Linked DNA regions of Xenopus tropicalis. The protein of the gene in region 1 purifies or fractionates together with the protein of each later gene. This does not show direct contact. Links are inferred from orthologs where the notes say so. Each region holds a gene or a part of one and is shown in the gene's direction. Other genes may lie near its edges.

Region 1 (3,844 bases):
GCTAAAGGGCTGTGGTTGGGGTGGTACAGAAGCACGAAACATAATGTACATTTCTGTCTTACTTATTTAATTAGGCTGTAGTTCTCCTTTATTTCCTGGGGACCCCAGACGGTATAGAGGCCTAGCTGGACCTTGTTGCTGAGAATGCAGTTGCCTTCAGTACACTGGCATTTCAAACCTTATCTGTTATGGTATATACAGAGCCTGCCTTATGACGTGTGGCCAGGCACAGGTCGGAATGCACCACACTTTTCTTATGCTGGTCCATACTGTAACACACATAGGGATCATAGAGTGAGTAAGGAGTCACATAAAAGGTGGTCTTTTTCTGTCTGTCCCTGGGAATCTCCTTGTAGAATTTCCTGTAGTGTCCCCTAATATTTATAAGGTTAATAACACTGAATTGCTTTTCACCCAGCTCCCTTCTCTTGCAGAAGGATCTAGTGAAGGAAGAAGAGTGCAAGGATGAGGAGGAGGAAGAAAAAGGAGCCAGCATGGCAAGTGGAGCAGAAGCCAAGCTAGCACGGGTGGCAGCACGCATATGCCAATATCACCTAGATTTCAGAGTATGGCAGCACGCTAAAGAAGTAACGCAGGAACTCTCACAACTGGCGTGTCGGTGTCTGGGACGTCAAAAGAAGAGACCGAATATGCAGGAGGTACTGTATTCTTCTGTGTTTGGTAAATCAGCCTCTAAAAGTTCTGTACAATTGAATAGAGACCTGGGGAGTTCTCTCAAAAGCTCTGCTTTTGAATAAAAATACATCTCTACACATAAGCCCTGTGAGTGCGGTATTTTGGACTTTGTACCTGCTACTTAAACTAGCCAAGTCAAGTGGCTGAGACCACTTAGTTTTATACACAGGATCATATTGTAGAGTTCTAATAGACCTCCAAAGGGGGGGTTTGCCAAAACCCAACAAAGTTTAGAGAGAATAACCCATAAAAGCTGGACTGTGACTGCTCTGTGCAGAAATGCAGACTACCTCAACATTTCTTAATAAGTTTCTTAGCAGAAACAGTGAATTGTTAAGGTATAGCAGGGTGGCACTATATGCAAAAGCGGCATAATATTGTGCACATGAAACATTATCAAAAGAACACTTTGCCTTTGAAAATGCCAGGTGTGCACAGGCAGTTGTATGGGTTGTACCAGATCAGCAAAATCCTGGTTCATGAAAGCCTTTGAACCATACATTACCCCTCAAGCACAGAGCTTCTCTACATTAAAGGGGATCTCTATCCAAAAGATGTTTTTGCATAATGAAATTCTAAGCAACTTTCCAGTATACATTTATGAGACATTTTTAATGGCTTTAAAGCTATTTGTAAATGTAATTGCTGCTGTTTATATCCTCTGCACTGCTGGCCGACTCCTAGAATGATGTTGCCATAACCAGCTGACTAACAGAACCTGGAGGAGAACTACTGCTAATTGTTTAAAAAAAACAGACACTACTTTCAGTGGTAAATACATTTACTAACAAGCTTAAACCAGTGAAAATGTATAATGAATGTATATTGGGAAGTTGCATAGAAGTACGTTTTATATTAATTATGCAATAAAACCCTTTTTTGGTACAGTAACACTTTACAGGGACTGAATCCTAATTATTTTTTTTTATGAAACAAGTTAAAAGTTTAGTTTTGTGTTCAGATTTGATGTAGTTAATAATACAAATTGCTTGGGGCCGGCCATATTGCTTATCTTTGCTGAGCCATACTTCATCAGCTGTAATAGAACAGCACCATCTAGTGATAAAAACATATTACCCAAAGAATGGACTGTGCCATATAGCCCCTGCAGGGCTAACTTTAGACATGTAGCCAGATTTGTATCAAGCTATATTGGGGCAATACTACTTGGTCCAGAGCTCTACCTGTCTACCCCTCCACCTCCCCATTCATTTGCTCTCAAACCAACTCCTGGGGCATTCACAAGGAAAGGCCACACAGCCCACCTTGGTTCACACTTAGTTCAACTGTTTTCTACCCCCCCCCCAACTGCACCTCCCCCAGCCTGCCCCTTGTTCTGGCCCTACAGCTATTGCAATCTTCCTAATGTGTGTATGTGTGTGGGTACAGCATATAAAAAGGCCACTGCCTCCATGACACAGCTGTATGGAAGTCACTGCTGGAATAACTTGGACAGTAGAGGAAGCGCTTTAGTTAAGCTTGACCAAGCATAGGGTTAAGCTGGCCATACACGCACCGATAATATCGTACGAAACCTCGTTTCGTACGATATTCGGTGCATGTATGGCATGTCGGCGAGCCGACCGATATCACAGGAAGCTGCTGAAATCAGTCGACTCGCCGATCGGCCAGGTTATAAAATGGTCGCACGAAACATCGTCAGATGGTCGCACGAAACATTGTCAGATCGCCACGTGTGTGGCCACCTTTACTCTATGTGGGAATCTGTACAGTAGCCCCTTGCATTGTTATTTTATATCCAGCCTCTGCTTCCCTGAATAGGTTCTAGGTTATATTTTATTACTGATGGTTTCAAGCCATGTTTTGCTAGGGCTTTACTTGCCCTTTAAAATAATCTCTTTAACAATATCTTTATTCATTGAAGTCCAGTCATTTCGCTGGTTAACTGTTTGATTTGCTTTGCTTTCCTAGGTCTTTCTCACCCTAAAGCGGCTACAAGAGCATCTCCACCGACGACATTTGGGAAAGGGTCATGGAATTTCTTTTACTCCACCTTGCGTATCCACCAGGCGAGGATTTTCCCCCATACATGAGCTGGCATCTAGTGTCCAGGATTTGCCTCTCACCCCTGAGGAAAACACAGACAAATATACTCCCTGTGGGCTTTCAGTTAAGGGCAGTGTTCAACCCTACACCCCAGCTCACACCCAGCACCAGGCCAAAGTGGACAGTTTATGCAGTTCATTTTCCTGCCAAAGCCTCAAAACATTTCGGGGCGCTCAGAACACACCAGTGGAGAGTGATGAAAGCTTCCCAGATTTTAGTGGCTCTGATAATTCAGCGGGACCAAGTGACCAACATATTCTCTACCCCAGCGGAGTGCAAGGGAGCATATCGCCTGTATTACCAAGGGTATCTGTCCAGGACCCAATTCCTCCTGTGCAGTACCAGAACCAATTAGCAGTTCAGCCCAGGCAGAGACATTACTGCAATGAACTGTCAGGAAGTGGCAGCTCAACATCAGGGGCATCCCAAGGTAGGCCCAGGGGGCGAGCAACACATTTTGAAGAACACGTGGCAGCACTATTGGTGCTTTAGGGATTGTTACAAAAAATCATTCTATGTACAGAACCTATCCCCTTTGTATTTCTGTTATGGAAATATCAAAGTTAATTAGTTCCCACTTCTTTGTTTTGCTCTCGTTTCTTTTCGTGTAGTTTCAGTCTTGCATAAGACTCCATTGCTCTCTGTAGGCTGAGCTCAACCATCCTCATCAACTTCAATATCCCTCTTGTACTGTTATACTGCCCTTTCAAAAAGCTAGTAACAGGGTATAGCCTGAGGGCCCCTAGGGCTTGGTCTGACTTAGTTGAGTGTAGAAAGTTGAAAGAGGGTGGTGATTACTTTCATCCCCCCTCCCATACCTTCTGCATAGAGCCACCATAAAACTTTGCCAGCAGAGCATATTGGCTCATTAAAAAAACATTATACCCTATTTAAAAGTTAAGTTACATATTCACTTGCCTACTGTGGTTCCCAAACTGGCCCTCTAAGGTAGGCCCAACACTGTTGAAGGGGTCCTACTATAAAGGCCAATTAGGAGGATGATTGCTTATACAGGTATGGGTCTTGTTATCCAGAATGCTCGGGACCTGATGTTTTTCGAATAAGGGATCTTTCTACTAAA
Region 2 (4,090 bases), on another chromosome or scaffold:
TGTCCCCTGCTGTGAACAGGTATTGTTCGTTTGCCTGCTACGTGGGAGCAGCCACCTTTATAAAGGGAAGGTACTCTGGGGCAGGTAGCGCTACCTGGGGGGACTAAAGAGCTCTTGGGGAAGGGACTGAACTAACCTAAGGGTTGTGGTTTATCCGGATCCAAGTGGGGATTGGGCATCTATAGAGACTGTCGGTGCCAGCTGTGGATAAACTACATGGGTTCCTCAGAGCAGGAAAATCAGTTGTACATAAAGTGTTAACTTCCAACTCCAACAGTTATATAAAGTTTAACATTTCTGCCAAACCTGTGTGTGATTATTTCCTAGTGGAAATCCCCTAGAGGTGTGTTCCTCAGTGTCCACTAGGTGGAGGCACTGCGCTGTTCCCAGTTCCCAGTATCAATATTCTTTGAGAACACACATCTCCTGAAAATACAGCCATATATAAGTGAATGTGCCAAGAAAGGGTTACACATACATACCTGTTCTCACCAGGGGACACACACGGAGATTCCACAGAGGACTTTGTAATCCCTGGCAGCCCTGCAGACTCTTCTTTTTTCAGTCTCAACTCACAACATGTGGTACGGGCTGCTCACTCTATATCTCTCCTCCAAAAACTGGCAAAACACCTTTATCAACTGCTGCCCCCCCCTTGATTTTTGGCTCCAAACTGGGGCATCCAGCCAGCACTTGCCTGAGGCTGGAGATCTCCCTATAAAGTTAAAGGGAAAACCCAGCTTCTGCACAATTGTGTCAGATTTGTGACAAAATGTGCATACAGTTGTGGGAATTTTGTCACATCAAATGTAGTTGTGTAGGCGCAATAGTGATTGCAATTCAGTGGAAAAGGCTGCATTGTGGGGAAAAAATGCACTCAGAATTCCACTTTGTTTACTGCACTTGCCTATAAGAGTATATTTCTATACTTTCACTATTGGTTATAAATTAAGAGCAGGCACTGAGAAATGATTTCTGGAAGTTTTAAAAACCTAACAACACTTCCAGAGACAATTTATTTCGGAGGGCAGATAGTACCGTCATATAAGACAGCAAAACGTAAACAAAACAGCAGAGCAAAAAAAAAAAAGACTATATTGTAGAAAGAATTTTCATTTTGTCATGTCAATAAAGTTGTATAAAAAAACTATCTTTCCGAACACGCCTCACTTTGCTTCTGTGCAAGACGACATCACGAAGCCCCGCCCTGCTTTCGCCGCCGCTCTGCATTAGGCCTGCGCTTCTTCGCCTCTACCTGTATGGTCGGATCGGAAGTTGGCCAGCGCATCAGCGGCTACAGTAGTAGCAAGAGAGCCCTCCCCTCTTCCACCACAGGCCCTGGCTCCAAGCAGGCTAGGCCCAGCAGCCCAGAAGGGGGTTACCTGGTCCTTGATGGGCCGGGGCCGCCCGTCACGTACAAGTATTACGGTGGCTCCTGTTAAACCCGCTCTGTTTTCCCCAGCTGTGTACCCCGGCTTCCGCCGGTGGGGTCCCCGATTTCTCTTGTAAGGGCACGGCATGTCTGCCGCCTCTGCTGACATGATTGAGACTCCACCGGTGCTAAACTTTGAGGAGATCGACTACAAGGAGATAGAGGTGGAAGAGGTGAGCCTGCGGGGTGACACGGGCAAATGGGCTAAAGGCAGATCTCCAACCTGCAGCTTTTCATTAACATATAACTTCTAGCAGTTGCTGCCAGTAGTTGCACTTTACTGACCGCAGGTTGGACTTTCCCCGCTTATTGTTTGTAAATATTTAGTCCTATTCATTCTTTGCCAGAGAAAGTTCTATGGAGACAAATCTAGTAGTAAAGACACCCTTAAAGGGGAAGTTCACTTGTAAAGCAGCTATTAGGTTTTTCCTGGCTGGCCTATTCTCGGCAACTATTCAATTGATTATTTCTAATTTATATGTTTTATGGTTTTTTTTAATGATTCCCCCTCCTATCATTGCCATTTTACATGTTGCAATTTGAAAATGTCAGTTTTTTGGGGGACACTGTCCCTCCCCCAATTATATAGCTGATACTTGTCTTTGGCTTGTCTTTGTTTAGAGTTTCTTTCCTTTTCATCTTTCTGACTTTCCAACCACTGCCTGGTTCAAGGTAAACATTCTAAGTTGGATAGCTGCAGAGCAAAATGTGAAATAATTAAAAAAAAACAAAAAAACAAAAGAAATAACTAAAGAACAGTAGCAAACTGTCATAACATTCAGGTGAATTGCTTCTTGAAAGACTGCGTTTGTCCCAGACAACATATCTGTACATTTGCCGCTGATATGAGGCATCAGAGGTGACAGGTAGCCCATCCATTTTTTGTATGATTTATTTCATATATTTCCCAATGGCTTGCACATTCCATGCATCTCCATAGTGGTACAAACTTTGCTTGGAAACCTCTTTTTCTATTGGTTTCATCTGTAATATTAATGCGATAGCAAAACAGATTAATTCATAGTTTGTCAAAGAATTTTGTTTTTAAATTATCAGAAAACACAATGAAAAGACACTTGTGAAGCACCAGTTTTATGTAGTTGTTTTTATTCTTACCGCTGATGCATGTGTTTGAAGTATGACCATATTTATAGCCAAAAATATTGGGTAGGCATGTTTTCTGGTTGTAGTCACATGGGTGTCGTGCCGTACTCATGGTGATTCCTGTTGAATGTAAAGGGGAAGTGATGTTCCTCTAAATTATGTTAATTTACCCCAAATCTTGTCACATTAGTCTTATTGACGTTTTGCTTTTGTGTATATGCCATTTTCAAGCAAAGGCCAATTGGATATTCTTACGGTGGCCATGCACGAGTAGATTTTAGCTGCAGATTCGGGTCCTTTAGAATGATTCAGCAGCTTATCTGCCCATGTATGGGCACGCCTGCCAGGCCTACCTGACTACATCGTCAGATCCGCCACACACCCATCAGAGCTGAAACAGCAGATAAGGAGGAAGAAACAATAGGATTTCTACCTCCTTCTGCCGATTCAGCCCTGACGGCAGATTTTGGTCAGGCGCCTTCTATGGCGCCCGATCAAATTTTTTTAACCGGTCCGATCGGCGAGTCGACCGATATTAGCAGTTTCCTGCGATATTGGTCGACTCGCCGACATGCCATACACGCACTGAATATAGTACGAAAAGAGGTTTCGTACGATAGTATCGGTGCGTGTATGGCCAGCTTTAGATCTGCCCTAAAATTAACCAGATCTTGGTCAGATAGGTTTGATTTTATGACTTATAAGGGACTGCATCATTTGGTCCAAACTTGCCCACCTAACGAGAAGATCCACTCGTTTGGCGAACTCTCCAAACAAGCAGATCTTAAAGTGTGTGGCTGCCTCAACTCAACATTGTGAAAGTTCATCAATCTGGAATCGGTGAAGGATTGTTGTCTGATCCAAATTCCCTTGTACAGGAACATGCAGTATATTTTCCTGTAGAACCATGGGACTTGATAGCATAGGTTAGGTTTAATGAAACCATCAGGGTGAAGACAGACAGAGAAACTAGTCGCTGCGATTTTAAAAATCCAGTCTAGGTGACTTATTGGCCGCCACAAAAGTCTTGGATTTCTTACTGTTGCATGCTATTATGATATCTACTGGGAGCTGATATCTTGCTCCCTTCCCATTGTTCTGCTGATTGACTGCTGTGGGAGATTAATATCGCTCCAACTTGCAGTGCAGCAGTAAAGTGTGATTGAAGTTTTTCAGAGCACAGGTGACATGGCTGTGGCACCCTGGGAAATGAAGGATATGGCTAGCCCCATGTGAAATTTCAAAATTAAATATAAAAATCTGTGTATTTGAAAAATGGATTTTAATGCAGGATTCTGCTTCTCTCTGGAGAAGCTCCATTAACTCATGTGTTTTGGAAAAAAAAACATGGTTTTCCATGACAGTATCCCTTTTAAGGTGCATTTTGCTGGCAGTGCCTCTTCTCATTCTATGTACTGTTAGGGCAAAGACACACGGAGCTGCTTAGTAGCAGCTACTTGCGACGGCTAGAAAACTCCAGAAAATACCCTGCCACAGACAAAACTTGAGAATTGCCTCTACACATGTAGAGACAATTACCAGTAAATGATCAGC
Region 3 (4,193 bases), on another chromosome or scaffold:
CCCCCAACCTTTCTTACTCATGAGTCACAGTCAAATATAAAAAGACTTGGAGAGCAACACAAGCATCATAAAAGTTCATGGAGGAGCCAAATAAGGGCTAAGATTGGCTATTAGGCAGCCTCTATGCACACTATCAGCTTACAGGGGGCTTTATTTGGTAGTAAATCTTGACTTTATTCAACCAAAACTTGCCACAAAGTCAGGAATTCAAAAATAACTCCCTGGTTTGGGGGCACTGAGAGCAACATCCAAGGGGTTGGTGAGCAACATGTTGTCCCTGAGCCACTGGTTGGGGATCACTGTACTTGAGCGTCTAGTCAGGGTACTGGCCTATTAATTCAGTTACCTTCCTTGCACACCTAGGGGTACATTTACTAATCCACGAACGTCCGAAAAGCGTCCGAATGTGTTTTTTTCGTAATGATTGGTATTTTGCGACTTTTTCGTGAATTGTCGCAAATTTTTCGAGCGCTCAATACGAAAAAGTTGCGACAATTTGCGAAATTCGTAATGGCTATGAAAAAGTCGCGACAATTCACGAAAGTCATAATGGCTATGAAAAAGTCTCGACAATTCACGAAATTTGTAATGGCTATGAAAAAGTTGCGACAATTCACGCAAGTCATAATGGTTATAAAAAAGTCGCTACAATTTACGAAAAAGTCGTAATGGCGACGAAAAAAATCGCAAAAATACGAAAAAGTCGCAAAATGTTCATTTTCCAATCCGAATTTTTCTCATTCGGATTCGTGGATTAGTAAATCAGCCCCCTAGTGTGCTCACAATTCACTAGTACTTCTTCTTGGGGTTCTGATGATCCTGGAATCTGAGCCACAAGATACAACATAGTGAAAAAAGGTATTCACAAAGGGATTCAGAACCTTTTCAGTACTGCTGACCATGGAGGTTATTATGTATAAATGAAATTCCCTGCTAGGGCCAAGAAAAGTAAGTATAAGAAATGTGAGAGATGTATTGGTAGTGTCCCTGCAGCTCTGTACAACCGAACACATTGTTGGTTGGAAGTGACATCACTTTTCCTCAATGAAACAAGTGGGGTCTTAAAACCAATCAGAACTCTAGGCCCTCGTAGCAACCAATTGGCGTAGTAGAAGCTTCCAGAATCCTCCAGCCAATTTCTCCCCAAGCGTGAGCTTACAGCCAGCCAATCGGCTTTAGAAGTAGTGAATGGGCGGGATAAAACAAGGACAAGGAAGTCTTGCTGGGAGAGTCAGCAAGGGGCGTGGGTACGTGATGGATAACAGCATTGACCTGTCAGCGAAGGGAGCTTAAAATGTTCGCCCAATAGTTGCACACTCGGTAGGCGGGAATTGAACTGTCATCGTTTAGTAGGTTCGAGAAGACGCGTGGGGAGGTCGGAATCAGAGGGTTGCAATGGAGGCGGTAAGTGGCAAATTGTTAGTTAAGAGTGATGGGGATATTATAAATGCTAACCCACACACTTGCTCCGCGTTATGGGACAAGTAAGCTTTCCATAGTTGCGGGGAATTTATACTTGTGGGTCAGTCATTAAGTCATGGAGTGAGGGTCTGGGCTATGTGGGATAGCTGTTCTTCCTTTCAGACGATTGGTAACTGCCCTCAATAGCATTCAGTGCAAGAGTAGTTGCAGAACTGCAGCTTCCAGCCGTACTGGCATTGTGGCGTCAGGAGTTATTTTTCTGCCAGTCTCTGCCATCTCATGCCACGTCTGTCAGTTTCTCCAATAGGGGCAATAGCTCACCCTTGTTTCTAGTTTCCATGCTTCTCCTTGGGATTTACGCCTGTAAAACCATCAGCCTGCAGACTGCACTGGTTTCTGTATAGCCATATGGTAGGCAACTTAGCTAATCAACCCTACTCTTATTTATTCTAAAGGTTTACTGTGTATTGTTCACCTAATAAAATTGTCATTATTTGGAACTCCCTCCACCAGCTACTGGTGATCTCTGGTGTAGTAAGAAGTTCATGGGTCCCACAGCAAAATAATTTTTTGGTTACCCTAAAATTTAGAAATAAGACTTTTGCATTGTGATGGGACATTGAATAGTTTCTGATGGGACACAGATATTGAAGGAAAACGTTTAAAAATCTGGATTAATCTGGATTTATGCTATTGTATGTGTACGTCTACATCTTTGAATAAAAGTTTTTACTGAGGCAATTATATTGGCATAGTCATCTGGGAAATCTGTAAGAGAGAATCCCAAGTATTATTAAAGAGGAAGGGTGGGTTCTGTAGAAATGAACTACAGTTCTTAAGACGGCTATAAACTTAAAGGTATTGACAGTAAGTACACGACTTAGTACAAATTCCCTCCCAGTCCTTGTGTCCAAGTAGCATTTAGAAGAGACATGTTTGTACCATGGCTATTGGACATTTTATAGACTGGACAGGTTTAACCATTTTGGTCGGTTTGGCCCAAAGAAACAAATTTCCAGTTGTGTGTAGTCAGAAGATAACCATAGAACAGCAATGGCAAAGGACGATGTACCAACTTTACATGCTTGGCCAGCCTGCCATCTGATCTTTCCTATGAACTTTCACATTTGCAATATATACATCTTCATATTAATAGTTTGTCATTTTATATACAGATGCAGTGGCAGGGTGCACAGATGCAAGTCAGTGTTATTGTTACTTTGCACTCTGTCCCTCCATCAGCACATGTAGGTGCAAGTAAGGACCTGACCATGACTTCAGCACTGCCTGCATTCAGTGTGAGGTAGTTAAGAGAGCAAATATGCCTCAGATGCAGGTGCACCCAAACCATTATTAAATGAGCCCCAGTATTTTGGCCTCTTTGTCTACAAGTGTTATGGAGAGGGATTCACAGTATGCAGCTTGATAATTTTTATGTTACATTTAGTTGGTTTCCTGGAAAAGAAAGTAGCGCTGGCACAGCTGGGCATAAGTAGGGTAATTGAATTGGAGTCCTTTCTCTTACCTATTCCTCTTAGGCAAGGGGCATATGGGGTGTTTTGCTTGATGTTGTCATCTAGTGAACAACAGCAGCATTCAAAATACCCCTGTCTGCCTATCGCAGCTCATTGTTCAGAGCAGTGACAGGTAGAAGGGCAATTAGCCTGCTGCTGTTTTATCTCTGTATGGCAGTAGTGTATAAAATGGCCGTGGGCCACAAGTTTTAGGCTAATGGTACACAGGGCTGGGAATCCCCTGATGTGGGAATTATAGCTACAAAAATGTCTGTAGAACATTAACCTGTGCTATAACAGAAATATATCATGCATATTTTATTATTATTTATGTTTGTCACCAGTTCCTTTCTACTGAACTGAACCTTTATTTTCTTATGCATGTTGCAGGATTAGGCAAAAAAAGAATTTTTTTATTTATTTATTTTTTTTATAGGTACACAGGGATCCAGATATTTTTTATGTATTATGTATATATCTCTTATTTTTATATTCAACCTGCAGTTGAGCATGTTATTATTTGTACTATTTGAGCCAAGGGTGCCTAGCAAGGCATAGTTTGAGGCAATGACATGTTTAAATTCTGCTTTCCCCTTCCCTTCAATTTTCTTTTCAGCCCACGCTGCCCAAAGTGAGTCAGAGTGGGGGTGGCAGCAATTTAGTTCCAGGCACCAGTGGCGCAAGAGTTAATTAAGCAGCAGTGGAAGGCATAGAGATTTGATATCTTTGTACATACTTTCATTATAACAAATGACATATCGTTATGTATATGTTTCAAAATTGTTGTCCCTGTTCTTTCCCATCAGGCAAACGCACTGAAAGAGAAAGGAAACAAAGCACTTTCAGCAGGGGATCTGGATGAAGCAGTCAAATGCTACACCGAAGCCATCAAACTTGACCCTAAAAATCACGTCCTGTACAGCAATCGTTCTGCAGCCTTTGCCAAAAAGAAAGAGTTCACCAAAGCACTGGAAGATGGCGGCAAAACCGTGGAGCTGAAACCAGACTGGGGGAAGGTGGGAGCTGTAGAGCTAAGCATATGTAGTGACCTGTAAACCTGTTGGTAATAATTTGTGTATATCTATAAGTGTCTTATTGTTATCTTTCTATTAGGGTTACTCTAGGAAAGCAGCAGCTTTAGAATTTCTGAATCGTTTTGAAGAAGCAAAGAAAACTTATGAAGAGGGGCTGAGGCACGAGCCAGCAAATGCACAGCTGAAAGAAGGGCTGCAAAATATGGAGGCCAGGCTGGCAGGT
Region 4 (4,010 bases), about 72 Mb from region 1:
CTGTTTTTTTTCAACCAAAACTTGCAACCTAGTCAGGAATTCAAAAATAACTACCTGGTTTGGGGGCACTGAGAGCAACATCCAAGGGGTCGGTTAGCAACATGTTGTCCCAGAGCCACTGGTTGGGGATCACTACCCTAGGGCCATGGATGTTGTCCTCTCCTGATGGGTCTACATGGCCAACACATAATCCATTCCTTGGCCTGGGGTTTAGCAAGATTTGGCCCCTGACTTGTTAGTCATCTTACAGCTTCTCCACTGCCAAGAAAAATTCTACCCCTAGCAAGAGTCTGTGTGTGTTGGGTCTCTTAACAAATATCTGCTGCAGTGTGCACTGCATTACAATTATTTCCATAAATCAGGATAGGGAATTTGAATTGATCTTTTAGTTTTATACTATGTGCAGTGAAGTTGCTGTTCTCTATACATGAAATGAAGCACAAGACGCAATCATTTTATTAATCAGTAGGAGCCCCCAACTTGATTTACTCAAACTGGAACCAGGATACTGGAGCAGCTGGACTGTGTGCAGCATACAACACCCAGATATGATTGAAATGTAGCTTGTCAAATGATATGATACTGGCAGAGGCTTTATAAAATATCAAACCTTTAGCTGTAAACACTTCTTTGCATCACTTAACCAGTAATCAATGAATCATTTGCACTTTATTATAAGAGATAATTAATAAGACAATAGATCAGGTGATATTTTGATTTGCTACTTCTCTCTCTGAGGCGGGCATTCTAATTGTGAGGATGCTTGGTACCAATAGATCAGTAACGTCACCTTTGCGGATAAAAATAGAACTGCCCCTTTAAGAGCTCCCTATCCCATTTTACTCTATGTTTACATAACAGTATGGACGCTCCCACTCTTCACTTTATGGAGGGGGGTTAAGTGGCGGAATCTGTTACTGGTTAGCGCACGTTCCTGTTTTATCTAATCCGTTCGCTGCTTGGTAAGAGAGGACCTATCATTTGCGGCAGCTTGTTTCCCTGAAAGCACCGAGATAGATACAGGGCAGGGAATGTTTTGTGTTTGATTATGCAAACTCCGCCCACTTCTCTCCCAACGCCTAATCCAGAGTCCTGTTGCCACGGCACTTGGAAAGCAGCGGGGTTCCATTTGTTGTCTAGAGGGGGAGGAGGAAGGAGGTCGGTCCCGCGAGTCATTCGCAGCCTCTCTCTGTTGCTATCGCGTCGGTTGCAGGGCAGGAGGCAGACGCAAGCGGCTTGTTCCTCGGGAGTGCTGCTGTTTTGCTTTGGGCTGCCGGAGACAGGCCGCGGCGCTTTGGAGGGATTATAACCTTTCCCGTCAGCTGGAGCTGGAAGAAACTACTGGGGAGGGAGGGGAGAGTGCGGCGGTGACAGTAATCTGCGCCACAGGGCAGCCTCTTTGCTCCTAGGATTTATCCGCCACCCGGGCTGGTGAGCTGCGGCATCCGGTGTGTATATGAGCTGCCATGGAGTAGAGGGGGTGCGGAAGTGGAGCTCCCCGAGGGATTGTACGGCTGGCCGGGGACCGTGCATTGGCAGAGGGTGACGGGGACCGTCTTCTCCATGTTTTCCCCCAGTCAGGAGGAGCACTGCGCCCCCAGTAAGGAGCCCGTCAAATACGGAGAGCTGGTGGTGCTGGGGTGAGTCGCACACACACTGACATAGGGCAGAGCACAGAGGCCACTGCCTGTCTCCTCACTATCACAAGCACAAGGGGGGGGGGGGGGGGAGTACAATAACAAAGGACATATCATAAGGGCAAATGGCTTATTACACTGTTTAACAATTGCTTGTTAGTCTCTGTATAAACAACACGCACCCCCAAGCTTCTGCCTTCCAGCTGTTGTTCAACTGCAACTTCTCACATCCCACCTACAGCATGTTAGCAGTTTGCAGTAAGGCTACAGATTGGGAATTCCCAATTTATGGAGCAGAACTCAGATGGGCTAGCAAGCTATACTGTATTGCTGGGGGCCCTCACCCACACCCTGAGCCAGCAAGCCAACCGTGGGGGTTGAGATGAGAGGGTACAGCGGAAGTAGTGGAAGTTAAATGCGAATGCATGTTATATTATTGAAAGGTCAGCTTGATCAACACAAGAGCTTACAATTTAGTGAGAGAGGTTCATTTACTAAAATGCCATATTGGCAAGTGAAGCTGAGAGCAATTATATCTATGTGTAACAGCTGCTACCTGGCAGTTAAAGGGCCTGGTTCCATGCTGCACTGTTTGCTTAAAGTTTGTGGGACTCCATTATAAGAGTGGTGGAAGTGACTCAGTACACAGAAGGGGGTGGGTGCAATGTGGAGCAGACATTTACATGTTTAAGGCAAAAGGATAATGGGCCTGCTCATAAGATTTTGAAACGGCGGGGTTTCCTACCTTTTCTTAGGGTTGAACTATAATTCCAAGCACTCCCCGCTGTGCTACATGTATAAGAACTCTGTGTAGTGCAGCCTGGGGGGCACTGGAGATTTTGGGGCTGCATGTCAGCCTCCAGTTGGAAAGTTCTGCTGTGCTGCATGTTGGATCACATTGGCTCACAGCCCTAAGAAGGGATATGCCACCTTCATCAGTCAAGTAGCTGTAGAGTTTCCACTAAAAGCCACATAAAGTTGTATTCCAGCGGGACTTGAAGGGTTAAATATTCAACATCCATGATCTGGAAAGATAAATATGTTTTTGGCCCAAATATTAGGCCAACCCACCCCTGTGTATTCATTGTTGGGAAATCATTTTATAACAGCCAGTAAATGGGAAATCTCCCTGTAGAAGCTCATGCAGCATTTATTTTGTGTTTTAACCCAGGGTTTTACTTCATAGCATTGCATAGCATAGGTATTGCAGGAGTTGTATGCGCTGGCCAGGCAGGGCAAGTTCTACTTCATGGTGCTTCAACATGCAGCCATTTAGTAGTTCTGTTCCTAAGAACTCCAGGTGCTTTTTGCTCAGCTCTCTGTTTTGCTTTGTCATCAGTACCTGCCAAATAAATTTATATATAAACGTCCTATAAAAAGCCTTACTTGACATTGGCTGCGCTTATTCATATGTGCAAAGTATAGGAAACCTATTCTAGGTATGTAATGCCTCAGTGTATCCCGTATTACAGAGGGGCAATATCAGTATACAGGAAGTCATTGTATTTGCTGTGTTTTAGGTCACTTTCCCAGGGGGTTGGTCATGCCTCTTTCTTATTCTATGAAATCCAGTATTTCCTGTGTGAAATCCTCTAACATCTGGATTGCCATTTCTGCTGCATGTTATTGTTTACATATACGTAATGCTGCAGTTTTTCCATATTGCTGAACCACAAAGGGGGGGAATACAAACAATTGCATATCAATGCAGTCCAGTAGAAATGGGATTTAATTGCCCCATTCCTTACTGCTTGCTTTTCCATTTCCGTTATTGGTTTGGTAAGCTGCTGGGGAAATTACAAAATCCCACGCATGCTAATGTGCTTTGTGTGTGTGTTTCCCCCTTTTCTCATTGGAACAGTCTGGTAACAGGATTGATCCAAGATAAAGTGAGGGGTACTTCAGATTGGTAAACGTCAACTTTCCTTCTATCCCAGGCTCTGCAGTATGCTTATATGCAGATTGTCATTATCACCATAAATTATAAAGCAGTAACCTATTTTGCAGGGCTGCACAAACTGCCTAATACATAACTGACAGCTGGGGCATGGTATATTTATGATTTACTTAAAAGGCTCAAGGCCCGGCCCTTTAGATCAGATTTAGAGGAGATATCCTAAGCAGCAGTCATGTGAAATACTGCTTTTGTTTTCCCTTTGAGAGCTGCTAGGAAAGAAAGAGTTAAGAAGGAATTTACCAAATATTTTAGGCTTGGCTTTTAATGAGTGCATGTGCTCTGGTATTTTATTTACCACTAAGGTATTTTATTTAGCCCACCCCCTCCATCTGCTATTGCATAAGCAGCAGCAGCACTTCAAAAGTGAAACGGAATACTGGAAAAGTAAAGCAACAATGCCAAAGACTGGAGTTCAG
Region 5 (4,202 bases), on another chromosome or scaffold:
TCCGGCTCCGCCCCCCCTCACGTCCTCCTGCTTTCTCTGGCTCCCCCCCCAGCATCCCCTTGCCTCTTCCAGCTCCCCCCTCAGCATCCTCCTGCTATCCCCCAGCATCCTTCTGCTTCCTCCGGCTCCCCCCCCCCCCAGTGTTCTCCTGCTACCTCCAGCTGACTGTCTCTCTCCTCCGGCTCCCCGCAGCGTCCTCACTCTTATGACGTTACATGTACACACGGGGCGCGACCAATCGGATTACTCGTTGACCACCAATGACAGGGCCTGTACTTGGGGGGCCCCAGCTAAAAAAAACTGTATCAAGGCTGGGCCCCCCTTAAAAGTGAGAATCGTCCGGGCCCTGGATGACTGTCCCCCCTGATGGCAGCCCTGTGGGGCCCAACAGGACTAGAGCCTACCGGGTTTTCTCCTGGTGTCCCAGCAGGCCAGTCCAATGCCGCGCTGTTTCATGCATCTACACATTATTTTCTGCACCTACATATACTAAAGGGCAGATTTATTAACATTCTGATTTTCATGGTTTTACAGTATTTTGAAACTCATGTCTAAACTCGTTTTCACAAAAGTCACAATAAAAAGGCTTTAATAAAAGATCCAAATTGAAAAAGCACAAACAAATAAAAAAGACACGGGAAAATGCAAAAAACGGCAGCTTTTTCATAAGTGAGGAAATACCTTCCAGTTGTAAAAAGGGACACCTGCCATTGACTTCTGCTCTCAGCAGCTTTTAGATGGCGCATTTTTTCTTTCGGATTTCCTGCGGTTCTGTAAATCAACTTTCCTGTAAATAAATCGTATTTTGGCACATATGTTCCAACTGTGAAAAAATAAATCGAACGTTAGCAAATGCCCCCTTTATACGCCCTTACACACCCTTTGACACACCCACACAATACAAATATTTACACACCCATTTACACACTTACACATTCTTACTCTGTTTTACACACAATTGTACAGAATTGTACTCATTCACACAAAGATAGCAAGGCTGGTATTTTTTCCTCACAGTTTTGCATTTAGTAGAGAGCAACTGTATGACATGAATAACATATAAAATAAAAATGTATTTGAAAAAGTTATTTAATTTCCCACTTAAAAGTTGGATTTATGGCCTGTGACAGAATTAACCAATACTGATATAAAATCACACACGACACCCATAGGGAACAGTTTCCTGACATATATGTACTTAATAATTTTTCTATCATTTCAGTTTCTATATTTTATCCTCAAAAACAAGAGCCAACCTGTGTCCTGAGGCACTTTAGGCATTCTGCGCATGCGTGCGTCCGGCAGGTCAGGTGACCGAGTTGCTAGCGGAGCCGCCGCTAAAACCGCAAGCGTCTGATGCCTTACTGCGCATGCGTGTGCGCTGCAAGTCAGGTGACAGATTTGTTAGAGGGTGTAGCAGCTAAAACAGGAAGTGTCTTGGAGAAGACGAGACCGGAGAGATAAGAGCTGTTCAGAAGCCATGGCAACGAGTATCAGCACCCAGAGAGGCCAGGTGAGATAGAGTGGAGAGAGGTTTTGGGGTGAAACGGGGTGTTTAGGTGGTAGGTTCAATACATGAGGGGTGATAAAAATGTCGGGGTATGGAGGTGAGACCCAGCCCCAACATAAGGAATGCGCTGCATTCCTGGCTAGTTTGTAAATAAGGTGACATTGAGATCTTTGATATTTGGAATGTATTACCTCGTTGACGGCATGTTTTCCTTTTAAACGCCACAGAAAACCCCTACATGCTGTGTAGCCAATCAGCTATTAAACTGCGTTCTGCGTGGCTGTACATAAATCAGTGCAGCCTGCAGCAGCTCATTTTTCACCTAGTTATGTAGGATATGAAATTAAAGAAGCACTATCCGTCTTACTCAACAACAAAGGGTTACTAATAAATTGGCTTGAGCTCAACTAGTTTTTTGTTTTTTTTTGCCTATTTGAATCGCGACAGATCTATGGGTTTTGTTAATTTTTTTTGAGCTGGAACAGGGGCAAGCTGAGAAACTGAGGCTACCCCATGTCTTGCAAGGTGAGTAATTAGATTGCAGCCTGACAGATATTCCCATTCATAATGGGCTTCTGCTTTTTTTCTAATTCAAAACAGTAACAATAAAGGGTGGAGCTTGTTTGTACAGAGGGCATTATCTCTTGTTAAGGTGGCCATACATGGGCCAACCAGTATTTGACCCACAAGCCTAGAGACTTAAAGGGCAGGTTTGGTATGAAGGGCCCTAAGTTTTGTGGTTGCTGAAGTCTTTAGCAGTCCTATGGCTTTACATTCTAGGTCTCCTTGTACGTGCCCTAAATTGCTTGGGCAATATGGACATATTTAGCCAAACTCTCGGCCGCCTATCCCTATCCCTTAAAGCGGCTAGAGTTGTTCGAGTGTTAAAGCCCTGATGCACTGATGTCTCCCGTTGGAATGTGGCTAGGTCATGTGCTTCAGCCGCCTAAGCATTCCACTCCCAGCGACCAAGATAGGATATGGGCCGTAAACATCTTAGTTTGTTCCTCACATGTACAATATGTATTTATCTGTTTTTACATCAATTCTTTAGCTTCAAAGCATCTGTGATGCTTTGATGTCCTCTCTTTACTTTTGTCCTGTAAAGACAGCTTTGCAATATATATTATAGGTATGGGACCTGTTATCCAGAATGCTCGGGACATGGGGTTTTCCAGATAAGGGGTCTTTCTGTAATTTTAGATCTACTCACCTTAAGTCTACTAAAAATCATATAAATGTTAAATAAACCCAATAGGATTGTTTTGTCTTTAATAAGCATTAATTATATCTTTGTTGGAATTAAGTACAAGTTACTGTTTAATTACTATAGAGAAAAAGGAAATAATTTTTAAAAATTAGAATTATTTCTTTTAAATGGAGTCTATGGAATTTTTAATGGAGCCTTTACGTAATTTGGAACTTTCTGAATAATGGGTTTCCGGATAAGGGGTCCTATACCTGTACTTTAAATGGTTTTCAGTGGTTTTCGAAGTTATATGTAAATGTAATTGCTAGTGAAGGCAGTAAATGCCTGGCTGTTTATAGTCTCAGCACTACTGTTTCGGAATCCTGAAACAATGTTGCAATAGCTAGCCTCAAAACAGCTATGGGTTTTGTGTCATGTGAGTGTTGTAATGATGCTTTCTGTTCCATCCTTTGAATGGAAATTCTACTGAAAATATTATACCCTTTCATACTAATAACAAATATTATCTACTATTTTAACCCGAGTCAGGGTAACCCAAATGTTTTTCTTCCTTCTCACAAATATCACCTTTTACTTGTTGGTAAGACTCTTTTTTTTTTTTGGCAGGACTTTTTTGGTGGGTTTTTGTATGTGAGCCTGTACCAACGGGCTAAGTCCTTTTGCACGAGTTTGCAGCAGTGCCACTTTTCTTTGGTGAATATATATAGATATGTCTATAGGACCCATTATCCAGAATGCTTGGGACAAAGGGTATTCCGGATAAGGGGTCTTTCCTTAATTTGGATCTATATACCTTAAGTCTACTAAAAAATAATAAACCATTAATTAAACCCAATAGGATTGTTTTGCCCCCAATAAGGGGTAATTATATCTTAGTTGGGATCAAGTACAGGTACTGTTTTATTATTACAGAGAAAAGGGAATAATTTGACCATTAAATAAACCTAATAGGGCTGTTCTGCCCACAATAAGGGGTAATTATATCTTAGCTGGGATCAAGTACAGGTACTGTTTTATTATTATAGAGAAAAGGGAATAATTTAACCATTAAATAAACCCAATAGGGCTGTTCTGCCCACAATAAGGGGTAATTATATCTTAGTTGTGATCAAGTACAGGTACTGTTTTATTATTACAGAGAAAAGGGAATCATTTAACCATTAAATAAACCCAACAGGACTGTTCTGCCCCAATAAGGGGTAATTATATCTTAGTTGGGATCAAGTACTGGTACTGTTTAATTATTACAGAGAAAAGGGAATCATTTAACCATTAAATAAACCCAATAGGGGTAATTATATCTTAGTTCGGATCAAGTACAGGTACTGTTTTATTATTACAGAGAAAAGGGAATCATTTAACCATTAAATAAACCCAATAGGGCTGTTCTGCCCCCAATAAGGATTATTTATATCTAAGTTGGGATCAGTTACATGATACTATTTTATTACTACAGAGAAAAAGGAAATCAGTTTAAAAATT

The links.
Region 2: the proteins of irak1 (region 1) and map3k7 purify together in Homo sapiens (affinity purification with western blotting; 5 studies listed by BioGRID). This does not show direct contact. The link is inferred for Xenopus tropicalis from reciprocal best matches to the Homo sapiens genes IRAK1 and MAP3K7.
Region 3: the proteins of irak1 (region 1) and stip1 purify together in Homo sapiens (affinity purification with mass spectrometry; 3 studies listed by BioGRID and IntAct, with this or other methods). This does not show direct contact. The link is inferred for Xenopus tropicalis from reciprocal best matches to the Homo sapiens genes IRAK1 and STIP1.
Region 4: the proteins of irak1 (region 1) and peli2 purify together in Homo sapiens (affinity purification with western blotting; 7 studies listed by BioGRID and IntAct, with this or other methods). This does not show direct contact. The link is inferred for Xenopus tropicalis from reciprocal best matches to the Homo sapiens genes IRAK1 and PELI2.
Region 5: the proteins of irak1 (region 1) and tollip purify together in Homo sapiens (affinity purification with western blotting; 11 studies listed by BioGRID and IntAct, with this or other methods). This does not show direct contact. The link is inferred for Xenopus tropicalis from reciprocal best matches to the Homo sapiens genes IRAK1 and TOLLIP.

Annotation. Positions count from the first base shown.
Region 1 is NC_030684.2:32,170,614-32,174,457, reverse strand, and holds the end of irak1 (interleukin-1 receptor-associated kinase 1), read left to right. Parts: intron 1-434; coding exon 435-659; intron 660-2,628; coding exon 2,629-3,255; 3' UTR 3,256-3,340; downstream 3,341-3,844.
Region 2 is NC_030681.2:84,978,698-84,982,787, forward strand, and holds the start of map3k7 (mitogen-activated protein kinase kinase kinase 7), read left to right. Parts: upstream 1-1,290; 5' UTR 1,291-1,518; coding exon 1,519-1,605; intron 1,606-4,090. UniProt on the Homo sapiens protein: Serine/threonine kinase which acts as an essential component of the MAP kinase signal transduction pathway. Plays an important role in the cascades of cellular responses evoked by changes in the environment.
Region 3 is NC_030680.2:35,680,565-35,684,757, reverse strand, and holds the start of stip1 (stress-induced-phosphoprotein 1), read left to right. Parts: upstream 1-1,389; 5' UTR 1,390-1,395; coding exon 1,396-1,404; intron 1,405-3,742; coding exon 3,743-3,952; intron 3,953-4,049; coding exon 4,050-4,191; intron 4,192-4,193. UniProt on the Homo sapiens protein: Acts as a co-chaperone for HSP90AA1. Mediates the association of the molecular chaperones HSPA8/HSC70 and HSP90.
Region 4 is NC_030684.2:104,373,032-104,377,041, reverse strand, and holds the start of peli2 (E3 ubiquitin-protein ligase pellino homolog 2), read left to right. Parts: upstream 1-1,199; 5' UTR 1,200-1,563; coding exon 1,564-1,640; intron 1,641-4,010. UniProt on the Homo sapiens protein: E3 ubiquitin ligase catalyzing the covalent attachment of ubiquitin moieties onto substrate proteins. Involved in the TLR and IL-1 signaling pathways via interaction with the complex containing IRAK kinases and TRAF6.
Region 5 is NC_030680.2:21,551,449-21,555,650, reverse strand, and holds the start of tollip (toll-interacting protein), read left to right. Parts: upstream 1-1,399; 5' UTR 1,400-1,480; coding exon 1,481-1,513; intron 1,514-4,202. UniProt on the Homo sapiens protein: Component of the signaling pathway of IL-1 and Toll-like receptors. Inhibits cell activation by microbial products. Recruits IRAK1 to the IL-1 receptor complex. Inhibits IRAK1 phosphorylation and kinase activity.